3 linked regions of the Macaca mulatta genome follow. The protein of the gene in region 3 interacts with the protein of the main gene of each other region in a pairwise test. Links are inferred from orthologs where the notes say so. Each region holds a gene or a part of one and is shown on either strand. Other genes may lie near its edges.

Region 1 (4,124 bases), on a different chromosome or scaffold from region 3:
AAAACAGCGCAGCAGCTATGGAAAACAGTCTAGTAGATCCTCAAAAAGTTAAACAGAATTACCATATAACCCAGCAATTACACATCTAGGTATACATCCAAGAAAACTGAAAGCATATATACCATACAAAAACTTGTAATTGAGTATCCACAACATTATTCATTATAGCCAAAAAGTAGAAACAACCCAAATGCCCATCAATTGAAGACTGGACAAACAAAATGTGGCATAGCCATATAACAAAATAATATTCTGCCATAAAAGGTATGAAGTATTGATATACGGTATAATATGAATAAACCCTGAAAGCATAATGCTAAGTGAAAGACACAAAAGGCCACATATTATGATTCTATTCACATGAAGTGTCCAAAATAGGCAAATCCATAGAGACATAAAGTAAATTAGTGGTTGTCAAATATGGGGGAGGGGGAATAGTAACAAAAGCTACTAGGTACAAGGTTCTTTTTAGGATAATAATGTTCTTGGGTTAGTGTTGACATTTGCGCAATTTTGTGAATATATTAAAACCACCAAATTGTATACTTTAAAAAAGTGAATTCTATGGCATATGAATTATATCTCAAAGAAAATGATTATAAATATTTAAGTCTCTGCTTTTTCTTTTGAGACAAGGCTGGCTCTGTCACCCAGGATGGAATGGTCCAGTCGTGGCTCACTTCTCTGCTTGCTACTTTTTATTAGTAAATATTCTACTTTCCTCAAGAGGTTGTTCATGTTGCTTGTAACAGCTTTAAAAGATCTTTGAAGTCAGCTACTACACAGATTAATGGTATTTTTAGTAAAGTAAAACTACTATAACAGAGAAACTTTCTAAGAATCGGATTAGTTTGGTATAATTTCATTTTTTCAAAAGAAATGTTATTAATACCAAGTTCATTTTTAGAGAGTGGAAAAGCTTCAACAAGTCATTATAAAACACATTTTTTTAAAAAGGTCAAAATGCAATACTTTGTTTTCTTAATTAGTGGACATTTCATTTTCAGATACATCATTAGATTACCTGTTTAAAATGTTATTAAATGCCTAGCAATCAACTAAAACCCAAGGAGATGCAACTTCGTGACCTCTACTTACAACTTTCTACATTCTGCATTCTGTTGTCAGATTCCTAGTCCATCACTAGCTCCTAATCTCTTACATCAATTATTCCGTTCAATTCTCACTCACAGGGGCTAAAATGTTTGGTAAATGCAATCAATTCATTTTTCTAATGCTGGGGAACTTACTAGAGTGGGCCCAATTTTTAAGGTTAAATTTAGTCCAGAATGTTTGAATATTCAACAAAACGATTTCCTGGAATTTGGAACATAAAAACAGCCTATAGAGTTGTGAAATGCTTTCTAGGTCCTTCGGGAATTTTTTCATGTATTTAGTCGTGGGGCAAAGTATTACGTATAAAAGCTTCCTGGTCCCAGAACAAAGACGTATTTTACTGCTCAAAGCTAAAGGAATTAGTATTGTTACACTAAAATAGCATACCAATGAAACCAGCTAGGTATTGGCATAACCCAAGGTATGTAAACAAAGATAAAGTGTACCTTATTATGCATTCTTCCTTGGGGGGAAAAATTCTCACATTAATAAGATTTAGCCAGCCAAAATAGAAAAAATATACACATATATATGTGTCTGTGTATGTCGGTATGTATAAGGATTAGGATTTTGAGTAGCAATTTAAATTTGATGGTTTGCCAAGCTATGCTGGGATACATGGTGGGCATGCTTGACACAGGCAAAACGTGAAGCAAGAGACGACCTGTCAAACAGCTGCTATCTAGTTACTCCCTCGGCAGCACTTCCAACTTCTCCCGCGATGTCTGTGTATGAGAGAAAGATGTCAAAGCACCAAGAAAACCAAGGGGGATATCAGAGCAACAGCCAAGTCCAAACCGTGCATCCCAGGGTGAAATGCCACCCGTACCCTCAAGAGCTGGTCAGACTGCGGCTCTTTTCTAGTATGAGTCTACCTAAAATAGAAAAACACACAACCACGGACCCTGGCCAACCCGCTCTCTCCTCCCCTTTGTGACTCTCCCAAACGCTGGAGGGATGTTAACCTCCGGCAGGCCCGTGGAAGCCAAGCCCCGCGACCTGAGGAGGCGTCCAGGAGCCTCGGCACAGCCCTGGGGCCTCGAGTCCGTGTCCCCCACCCACCCGACAGGGCCGGTCACCGGTCACACAAAGGAGCCAGCCGCGGGCGCTGGACGTGGGGACTCGCCCCAGAGCCGGGAGCCACATCTGGTTCCTGCACGCTGGCAAAAGAGACCCGCTGGAAAATAAGGATTAACGCCCAAACCTGTTGCACAATTCGGGTCCCTTTCACCCAGAAATGAACAAGGGCGCTCAAGAGCGGAAAAGCGCGCGGCCCGGTCTCTGCGGGCCGCGGCCGCACCCGGCAGACGGCGCGGAGGCAAAGGCGGCCCGCGGGGCTCCCACCTCGGGCGCTTTGTCTGCGGCGGCGGGGGCGGCCAGGGCGCTGGGAGCGGAGGGGTGGCGGGGCGGGGGCTCCCCTCCTTCACTGCGCAGCCCCTCCGCCCCGCGGCCCGCGCGGGGGAAGAAAGCCGGGCCCGCTGCCGCCGCCGCCGCCGCCGCCGCGCCACCGCTGCACCGGCCACCCGGCCGCGGGGCCTGCGCGCTTCTCCCGCCCAGGCCGAGCGGCGGCCACACTCACCTGGCTGGCGCTGACGCTAGCGGCCGGCGGCTCCGGGGCGTTGGGGAGGACAGGGGAACGCTAGCGAGGTGCGGGCGGAGGCGGAGGGCGCGGCGGGAGGAAGGCGGGCTGGGGGCGGAGCGGGCCCGGGCGGCAGCAGCGGCGACGGCGGCGGCGGCTCCAGTCACTCGCGGCAAATCGCGTCCCGGCCCCTCCGTGCGTCAGGCGGGAGCGGGGGCGCGGGTGGCCCGGCGACCTCTCGGCACCCGCGGCCCGAGCCGCGTCCGCGCGACCCCGCGCACGCCCGGGTGACGGCGGTACAGCGACCCAGCCCGGCGCGGGAAGGGGGAAGCAGGCGGGGTGGGGCGGGGCGGGGCGTCCAACCGGGCCTGGGGCTGAGGGCTGGGCGCGAGCGGGACTCTGGCGATCCCGGACGGACCCTGCCGTCCCCACCCCTAGTCGAGGCCCAGGCTCCCCAGGCGGGAGGCAGTCTGGGAAAGTGGAAGGGTCCCTAGACCTGAAGTCAGAAATTTGGGCTTCAGAGAGGGCCCGCTACTTGACACCTTGGCAGGTCGTTTATTTCCTCTGGCCTCATCCTGGAGTTCGAAGGTTCGAGTAGAAGGTCTCCAAGAGCTGCTCCCAAGTACCCACTGCCAAGGCGTGGTGTGGCTGAAGGATGAAGGCAGATGAAAGGGAAAGGGTTGCTGTGAGGAAGGGCTGGATTCAGGGCATTTGTTTTGCTTTGAGGATCTTTCCATTGGACAGTCCAAAATTAATCCACAAATGGGGCTCCCTGATAATGGCTACTTCCCCATTTTTACCAACCTAGTTATTTTTCTCCAAATATACTGACTTAAGAGTCCTTGTTCTCATTTTATTGCGCAAATCATTTTTATGTCATTTCCTGAATTCAGTTCAAAAGAGTCATCAGCAAATTCACACCAGATCAGAGCAGCTGTGTGGTCCCAATTTCAAGACTTCCATATTATTCACTCAGCCACTCACTTGAGTATCACCTAATTCCATTGATAAAATCTTGCCATTCCAACAACTAAGCAACCAAATTTCTCTCCACTAAAGTTTTCTGACTTAAAATCCCATGGATTAATTCTTCTTAATTCTGTGAATATCAGTCTGTCTCCATGACTTCCACCTCTTTGCCACTCTTTAGGTCAAGTCTTTAATTTCACTGCTGCTTCAGTTCCACATAACTGCCAGAGAGAATGCTCCAAAAAGACAGAGCTGAGCATGCAATGTCCCTCTTTAAAATCATTCAGAGTCTCTCCACCAGGTTGAATCAGAGTCAAACCTGTTATCATGGTTTACAAAGCCATTTAAAATCTGATCTCTTGACCTCCTTGGCTCCAGCTTCAACTCCTAACATATCTACGTATCACACAAATTCAACAGGCTTTGTCTTTGTGCCCTTGTAGTTTTCCCCCACCTGAAA
Region 2 (4,072 bases), on a different chromosome or scaffold from region 3:
GGTTAATTCTGGGCCCGATCTCTTCTTGCCAAGCAAACAACTATGCAAATATAACTGTGCAAATTAAGGTTATTATGCACTTTCTGATAACACTTTCCTATTCTAAATTAGGGGAGAAATAGTCCCAATAAGATCTATAATTAGAAACAATATTTTGAAGAGATAGCAAACTAAGTTGTATTACATTGTATTACATTGTTTCGAGATACCTTGTTTAAAGAGTTACTTCTCCGCCGGGCGCGGTGGCTCAAGCCTCTAATCCCAGCACTTTGGGAGGCCGAGGCGGGTGGATCACGAGGTCAGGAGATCGAGACTATCCTGGCTAACATGGTGAAACCCCGTCTCTACTAAAAATACAAAAAACTAGCCGGGCGTGGTGGCGGGCGCCTGTAGTCTCAGCTACTTGGGAGGCTGAGGCGGGAGAATGGCGTGAACCCGGGAGGCGGAGCTTGCAGTGAGCCGAGATCAGGCCACTGCACTCCAGCCTGGGTGACACAGCGAGACTCCGTCTCAAAAAAAAAAAAAAAAAAAAAAAAAGAGTTACTTCTCAAAAGCTACTGTTGGGCGGCTGCGGTGGCGCACGCCTGTAATCCCAGCGCTTTGGGAGGCCTAGGCGGGCAGATCACCTGAGGTCGGGAGTTCAAGACCAGCCTGATCAACATGGAGAAAATCTGTCTCTACTAAAAATATAAAATTAGCCAGGCGTGATGGTGCATGCCTGTAATCCCCTCGGGAGGCTGAGGCTGCAGAATCGTTTGAACCTGGGAGGCGGAGGTTGTGATGAGCTGAGATCATGCCATTGCACTCCAACCTGGGTAACAAGAGCGAAACTCCGTCTCAAAAAATAAGAAATAAAAAACAATGCTACTGTTAACTAATCTACTCCACTTGGATCCACCAGATACTTTGAATGAGAAGTGGGAACCACTCTACTGACCTTCCTACCCCTACTACTGCCACTCCAGCTTAACAGTAATTACCTTCACAAAGACAGAAAGGAGTTATCAAATCACCAAAATAACTCTAAAAACAGAAAGTGAGGTGATCTTTCTTACTCACAGTCCCACTTATTCATTTAGAAGTGCCGAGCACCAAAACAAACCTTATCACATATTCAGTATTTCGTGAATAACTGCCAAGTATGATGGAATACTCCCCAAAGTACTGCAGCCTTAGGACACGACCACTCCACTAAATAAAAAATTCAGCGAAAGCTTTTCTAACAAGGCTGGATGGTGCACTAACTCAACGGCCAAACGGCTGCACTTCCTGTACATGCACGTTCAAAACACCTCGAACTAACATGCTAGGGACCTTGAAGAACTGTACTAGGCCTTGCTCAAGAGGAAGGCTTTGTAATACTGAATCCCAAAAGTTGAAGCAGCAGAATTACTTCAGGGAAGACGCAGGTGTGAAATATTCCGTAAAACCTGTTTCACTCTCACAACGATCAGGTTTTTAAAAAGAGGGAGAAAACTGACCTCAATTAAGAGCATTTTGGCAACACACATAGTTGAACATGAGTTGTGAAAAGAAATCTCAACTCCATCCAGATCTGTCCGTCCATTCCCACGGAAACCTGAAGGAAGGACCGCAGCACCAAAGGCGCCCACTGCTCAGTGCCAGCGGCGGGCGACACCAGGAGCCTGTCCTGGTCCCCTGGGTAAGCCCCGGAGCCTGGCTACTATGCCGGGCACGATCCAACCGTGAGGGCTGGATCCCCTCACCTCTGTCCAGGCGCCCCCCAAGAGCTTCCCCGAGGCCTGGGGACTCCTAACTCTCCACGCCTGGCCCCCGAGAGCACCACAAACGCGGACGCCACGAAGGGAGGCCCGTCGGCCAGTGGGAGGGACGCACGGCCAGGGGGGCGAAAACTGGGGCGAAGGTTTCCCGGGAGAAACCGACGAGGGGGCAGCCACGCCCCCCGCCCCCAACTTCAAACCCGAGGGCTGCGAGCACCGAGCCCCACACGCTGCCTGACAGACGCAGGCGCGAGGCCGGCGCGGGAGAGGGCTCCTCGGGCACTCCAGGGGCATCGCCGCGACCCTCGCACGCGACCGCTCCCTGGGACTGACCTGTGCCTGCCGCCGCGCGACCGCCCGCCCCGCCGCAGCCTCCGCCTCCTCGCGCTCACTCTGCCGCCGCAGCCACCGGAGCCGCCTCCTGCGCTGCGCCCCAGGCCGGCCTCGGGCGCCCCATTCCCACCCCGCCCAGCCTCCGCCTGTTTACAATGATTGGGACGGAACAGGACGAGCCGGTCCAGCGCGCACGCGCATTCCCTCCTCCCGCCGCAGCCGGCTTCCCGGATCCTCCTCTCCGCTCAGACGGCTGAAGCCGTCAAGGGCAGGCGCCCTGTGCTCTCGCGCGGGTCGCGCTGGGAGGCGTAGTTCCCGAGGCCCCGGCATCCAACTAGCCAGAAGGCCTTTTGCCAAGGAAGCAAACTACAACACCCAGGAGGCACCGCGCCTCCTTCGTCCCCAGGCTCGCTGAGGAGACTAAAGAAGAAGGCGAGAGAACGCGCCGAGCGCCAGTGCTCTGCAGGCGCCTGCGCAGTCGCTGGCCTTGCGGGATGCGGGGACGGACACTTACCCCGGTGTGGTGCTGGCAAAGGTGTCTCGTGGGCATGTCCTGCAACGGCCCAGAGGATGGAGAGAGCTTCCCTCTCCACGCTCTGGCCAGCCTGCGCCTCAGCTCCCGAAGTTGAGAACTTTCCTTGCGCCAGCGTGCTTTCGTCGTTCCAACCAGTTAAACCGGCCTGGGGGCCGCCCGGCCTGCCCCTGGGTGGGGCTGCTGCCCCGCCTTCGACTGGGTGTGGGGTTGGAGGAAGGAGCGCCGTAGGCCTGTAGGGAGAGGCGGGAATAAACCTCTGTCGGGAACATCCACGGAATTCCTGAAGCGGGTGTGGGCTTCTGCGGGGCTCCAGCGCGCCCCCGGCTCAGCAGTTACCGAGCAGCCCAGCCCGTGTTTGGCTGGCAGTAGAGATAACTGAATTTCTTCGAGAAGCCTTTCACCCAGGCTTGTTGAGTTGCTCTGCTAATGCATAGCGAAGGCTGGAAACAGGGTTTCAGCAGTCTTCGTGTTTTCTGAAATGTGGCAGTTTATTAGGGGAGAGGTGGGACTTGGAATAGACGACCCTTCCCTGTCCCTGGCATTCCTACGTGCAGCACTCTCTGTGGCTCTTCGTTGCCTATTTAGATTGGCAGCTGCTGTCCATCTTGCTCTCTGCTCCCACATCAGCTTTCCTCAAAGCGGGCGGTAAATCTGTCTCTAGTACTCTGCGCTTCCTACCCAGTAAAGTTCAACCCCTGGGGCCTTACATTCATTTAGGGGCCTCCCACAAGTGGATACGGCATGGTCTGACATAGCCATTGGTCTTTGACTTTCGGAAAAGCCTTCTCATGGCCCCTTTCGCAATACAACAGTCTTCTCTGACCAGTGGGTTGGGCAGGTGAGCATGGCAGTGACAATTCTTTGCCTGTGACAGCACTGATTCGGCCAAGGGACAGGCATTGATCCACGCTGGGCCTTATGGAGGCCTTGCCTGAAATTGCTATATGGACGCAAGAGGGGAGCAGAGGGAGTTTTCTACTGAGGCAATTGCTGATGGACGTGTTTCTTGCAACCGAGTGGCCTAGCCAAACGTGAGGGTGGGAAAGAGAAGAAAGGGGAAATGGAAAGGGAGAAAGAGCTGGCAGAATGTAGACCGTGGTTTCATTTGGAGGCATGGTTTGTGCAGCTTTTTAAGTGCTGTGAGCACGTGAGCCTAAGTAAGTGGGCCCACTGATTGATTGATTTATTATTTGGAGCCAATGTGTGTGGATATAGAATATATTTGTTGGCTGCCACCTGAGTATTTATTCCTCCCATTTAAGCCAGGCAACGTAACCATTCCCTCTAGCAGCAGAGATGGTCACAAGCCCAGTCAGAAACAATGAACCCACAAAGACTTGGGCTGGAACTTCCAGTAAACGGTAGCTTCCTTGCTTATCTAGCATGGTGTAAGTATATGACGCCTGGAAATGTGGCAACCGTTTTCCTCCTATAAGGGGAAACCCTAGAAGGATGAGAGTTT
Region 3 (4,239 bases):
CTTGCTGTGGACCTGCCAGTCATCCCCCCACCCCCCAAGCAGCCTTGACCTATTCCAGACAGTTGGGTGGGAGGCAACACAAACAGCAGCAGCCAGGGTCAGTGGCAGGTAGATTTTATTGGCCTGGGACACACGGGGGGTATCCTCACCCACAGTGGGGCAGGGGGCATGATGTTGAAGATATAATCTGATCGTCACTTGTGGTAGAATCGCGGGTTCTGGCTGTGTTGGATGAAGGGGAGCCGAGGGCCAGGTTGGCTGGTAGCTGCAAAGCCCGACTGGCGGTGGTGATGAAAAGAGGGCTTTGTCACTGGGCGTACTCTCCCACTTAATGCCCTACTGGTAACCACCCCCAGAGAGGAAGAAAAACCAGGTGATGTGGGCCACCGGTCCTACCTAATCCTGCTTTTCTGGATCCCTAGTGTAAGGATTCTGACAGGTAAACTTTATTATCATTCTTACCTTTCCTGCTGGTTGCATCTGCACAGGGAGCTGTGGGGAAGCAAGGAGTCCAGGGGCTGGATGCAGAGCCTGGGGGTGCATGGGGCGCAGAGAGGACTGCAGAGAACAGAGTCAGGGCCTGAGGCATACTGAAGCTCCCCTTAACATATCCCTAACCCTGACCTCCCAAGGTGCCATACTCACTGAGTCGGAGAAGCCAGTCTGCTGGTTAGCATGTTCCATCTGCTTTTGCAAGGACAGGGCACCACCAGGCTGGAGGAAACCTACGTGGGGAAGAGGGGCATGTGAGATGAGAATGAAACAGGGAGGGGAGGACCCAGAGAGCTAGAGCTCCTGCATGGGATGTTATCACCTGTCTGAGTGGGCTGAAAGTGGCCGTGCACGGCATAGGGCTGTGGCTGTGGCTGAGATAGGTACTGCACTGTAGGGAATGCTGAAGGAGCTGAGAAAGGAAAAGACAGAGCCATTAAAACCTTTTACTCAATGGCATTCCTCCTTTGACGTTGAGGAAGGCCAAGCCCCATCCCTCCTATTACTCACCTCTGAGCTGCTGACTAGGACTATAAGCTGGCTGTGTGGGCCCATAGTGAGGTGGGGGCTGAGCAGTCCCATAGGCACCACCAGGACTGCCTTGGAATTGTCCATGCTCTGGTGTCCCCGCAAAAGCAGCTGCTGAGCCCACATAGTGCCGGGTCTAAGGAGGGAGAATGAGAATTCGCCTATAAACTTGAAAGCTGAAACCCAGTGACTTGTGTATATCTGTATGCCGCATTTCCCCCTAAACTTAAGTGCTTGATATGTTTGTGACTTGAATACTGGTGGCAAGGATGCATGGATGGAAGCAGTAGGGGCTGGGCATCCAATCCTACTCTCACCGTAAGCACTTGGGGTCCAAACATTTGTTTGGCTCTGTCAGCTGCCATGAGGGTGCCTGGGCGATTGTGTCCTCCAGGGCTCCCTAGAAAGGGAGAAGGGCTTCATGATGCTGAAATGGGAGGCTGCAACCTGTAAGAAGGCCGGTTCCATCAGGTGGTCTCTTTAGTCCTCACCCTGCATGCTGAGGAGATGAGTTCCTGTGTGGACAGTCAGGCTCTGCTGGTATGCAGCTGATGTCAGGGTGGTCAGGTCACTGGAGTGAGAGGAAGGCAGGTCAAAGCTAAGGACAGATGCCTTCTCTTTCGCCATTAAACACTAGTTCTTTTATTACTTGATCCCAGTTCCACTTGGCCCCCATTTCAGTTTTTAGCACTCTGATCCCACCTCTGTTCCTTTCGCCTCCGTTTTTCTTCCTCATGTAAAACTTTCTTGAGCTGCAGGAAAAGCTGATGCTTCTCTTCCTGTAGGGCCAAAAGCTTCTCCTCCAACTTCAGAATCTGGGAGGGAGTGGGAAGAGAAGATGAAGGCAGGGAGAGTCAAGGGAAGAAATCAAAGCTGGGAGAGTTCAAGGGACTGCTTACTTGTTCCTTGGTCTCCTCTAGTGACATTCTCTCTTCCATCTCCTTTTTCTTCCTTCTCTCCTGTTCTTCCTTCATCTTCTGTTCCATCATCTTATCCACCTCTTCTTCCTCTGGAGAATCAGGCAGAATGAAGAAGAGGCAGGGTAGTGAAAACAGTTCCAACGTTAGATTGAAGACCAGCAAAACCCAGTCATCCCAACACGCCTGTGCGCTCTTTGCCTCGAGGGGACAAGCTCCCCCATCGCTGCAATAGGGAACGGAGAGGCTTTATCAGGTGCTCTCCAAGGTCCTTCCCGTCTCAAGGGTTCTGGAGCGTGGACCAGGACGCTTAAATCCCACCACAACGGGGCTATTCCTTCCCTCCTCTGCGCTCGGCAGCGGGCTCACTGGTTGGCCGCTGGGTTGAGGCCAACCCTGAGGTACAGGAGCCATTCTGGGCCGTGTGTCCCCCCGCTATGGCCCCGGCTCACCCTGCCGCTTGCGCTCCCGCTCCATCATAATGTGCCGGTGCAGCGCCCTGGCCATGGCGTTGGAAAGCTTGGGGCGCTCCAGGAGTGCGGGCATGGTGCTGCCGTGGGCGCTCGGGCCGTGGGCGCCCGGCTCTGTCTCTGACTGCCAGACCTCAGACGGCGCCTGCGGGGAGGCGGGCGCTCAGAGGGGACCGCGCCCGGCCCAGGCGGAAGCCCGTCCGCCCGACCCGCTAGCCGCCCCGGTCACGTGTCCCAGGAGCCCGCCACCCGGCCGGGCCCGCAGCCCCCGCTCCACCGCGCGCACGGGCGGCGCCGGGATCCCCGACTCGGTGCTGCCGCTCCCTGCCCAGCCAGCCCGGACGCCAGCCCTCCCTACCCGCCTTCTCTGCGCTTTCTCAGCAGCTCCGGCGCGCCCTGGCCCGTACGTCACATCCGGCGGCCCGGCCAAGTCCTTCCGGAGTCACGGCTGCGGCCGACCTCACGGGTTGGGTGAAAGAAAGCGGAAGCGCGCTGCGACGGGTGCCCGCGGCGTCCAAACCCCGTAGCCGGGAACGCGGGCGACGAGGGCTGTAAACTGGTCTTGGCATCCTCAGCTCTCTTTAATTTCGCGGGCCCACCTGGTGGCACCCCAGGGGACGCGGGCTCCGGGGAGGGGCGCGCGAGAGAGAGGCCGAGGCGGAGGCTCTGAGACGGTGTTTATTGGCTCCTTAGAAATCAGAGTCAGTAACAACTGTACAGAGGCCCCCATCTTCCGTGCGCCCACCCTTCCCCACTCCTGCCCGGTGGCCCCGGAAAAAGCAGCTTCATGTGGGCACAGGGAGAGACTCCTCTGGGATTCACAGTAACCAGAAACAAAAACGGAAATAAATTAAGTGATGTGGGGAAGGGGAGTAAAAGGGAGTCATGTTCCCCAAATCAGTGCATGAAGAGGGGTACCAGGGCCTGGAGCTGGGCTCCCACGGCTCCTCCCATCAGACGGAGTGCTGGGCCTCCAGACATGGAGCTGTGCCACTTGCCACCTACATCTGAGAGCCTGCCTACATGCTCCTGCGCGGCTGCCAAGCTCCAGCACCTGCGCATGCCACGAGTCACGGGAATGAGGTGGAGGCAGTCGCCAGAGTCCATGGGCCCGAGGCCCGACTGTGCTTGTAGTATTTGTGTGTCACCCCTCATTCCACCCGTACCAGCAGGGCATAGAGGAGTGTGGCCCCCTTCTCCTTAGTGACCCACTCAAGTTCGGCTGGACTGAAGTGAGGGTCAGGAGGTTCTCCAAGGGCAGCGGAAGGGGGTCCCGGGGTGTAGGAGCCAGGGCGCACACACACCTGGAACGCCACCTGAGCCTGGTGCGTCCGCTGGGATTTGGGGTCCCGGAATCTGTCAAACAGGAAAAAATAAGGGAGTGAAGCTTCTCTCCCCATCACCTCCCCCTTGCAAAGTCTGTTCCAACCACACAAGCCTTGCTGTACCTAGGAAATACTCCCGCCTTATAGGAGCTTCACTCTAGCTGTTCTTTCTACCTGAAATGTTCTTCCTCCCAAAGCCTGCTCAGCTACACCCTTCACTTCCTTCTTCAAGCCTTTGCTCGAATCTCTCCCACCTTCTTACGATGCCCACACCAGCCACACTGCTGTCTCCTTCGCCCCCCTCTTTCCTACGATGCCCACACCAGCCACACTGCTGTCTCCTTCGCCCCCCTCTTTCCTACGATGCCCACACCAGCCACACTGCTGTCTCCTTCGCCCCACTCTTTCCTACGATGCCCACACCAACCACACTGCTGTCTCCTTCGCCCCACTCTTTCCTACGATGCCCACACCAGCCACACTGCTGTCTCCTTCGCCCCCCTCTTT

Evidence for each region. The genes of interacting proteins can lie anywhere in the genome.
Region 1: the proteins of GPS2 (region 3) and SESTD1 interact in binary tests that used the Homo sapiens proteins (3 or more experiments, as listed by UniProt). The two-hybrid records come from large-scale screens. The link is inferred for Macaca mulatta from reciprocal best matches to the Homo sapiens genes GPS2 and SESTD1.
Region 2: the proteins of GPS2 (region 3) and RALBP1 interact in binary tests that used the Homo sapiens proteins (3 or more experiments, as listed by UniProt). The two-hybrid records come from large-scale screens. The link is inferred for Macaca mulatta from reciprocal best matches to the Homo sapiens genes GPS2 and RALBP1.

Annotation. Positions count from the first base shown.
Region 1 is NC_133417.1:84,190,213-84,194,336, forward strand, and holds the start of SESTD1 (SEC14 domain and spectrin repeat-containing protein 1), read right to left. Parts: upstream 2,801-4,124; 5' UTR 2,696-2,800; exon of another isoform or gene 2,321-2,695; intron 1,847-2,320; exon of another isoform or gene 1,781-1,846; intron 1-1,780. UniProt on the Homo sapiens protein: May act as the primary docking protein directing membrane turnover and assembly of the transient receptor potential channels TRPC4 and TRPC5.
Region 2 is NC_133423.1:80,441,159-80,445,230, reverse strand, and holds the start of RALBP1 (ralA-binding protein 1), read right to left. Parts: upstream 2,801-4,072; 5' UTR 2,590-2,800; intron 2,252-2,589; exon of another isoform or gene 2,076-2,251; intron 1-2,075. UniProt on the Homo sapiens protein: Multifunctional protein that functions as a downstream effector of RALA and RALB. As a GTPase-activating protein/GAP can inactivate CDC42 and RAC1 by stimulating their GTPase activity.
Region 3 is NC_133421.1:8,806,326-8,810,564, forward strand, and holds GPS2 (G protein pathway suppressor 2), read right to left. Parts: upstream 2,801-4,239; 5' UTR 2,694-2,800; intron 2,553-2,693; 5' UTR 2,484-2,552; coding exon 2,390-2,483; intron 2,030-2,389; coding exon 1,920-2,029; intron 1,836-1,919; coding exon 1,723-1,835; intron 1,592-1,722; coding exon 1,512-1,591; intron 1,421-1,511; coding exon 1,338-1,420; intron 1,157-1,337; coding exon 1,003-1,156; intron 905-1,002; coding exon 815-904; intron 726-814; coding exon 646-725; intron 559-645; coding exon 463-558; intron 279-462; coding exon 195-278; 3' UTR 99-194; downstream 1-98. Other genes in the region: NEURL4 (neuralized-like protein 4), read right to left, coding at 3,559-3,763. UniProt on the Homo sapiens protein: Key regulator of inflammation, lipid metabolism and mitochondrion homeostasis that acts by inhibiting the activity of the ubiquitin-conjugating enzyme UBE2N/Ubc13, thereby inhibiting 'Lys-63'-linked ubiquitination.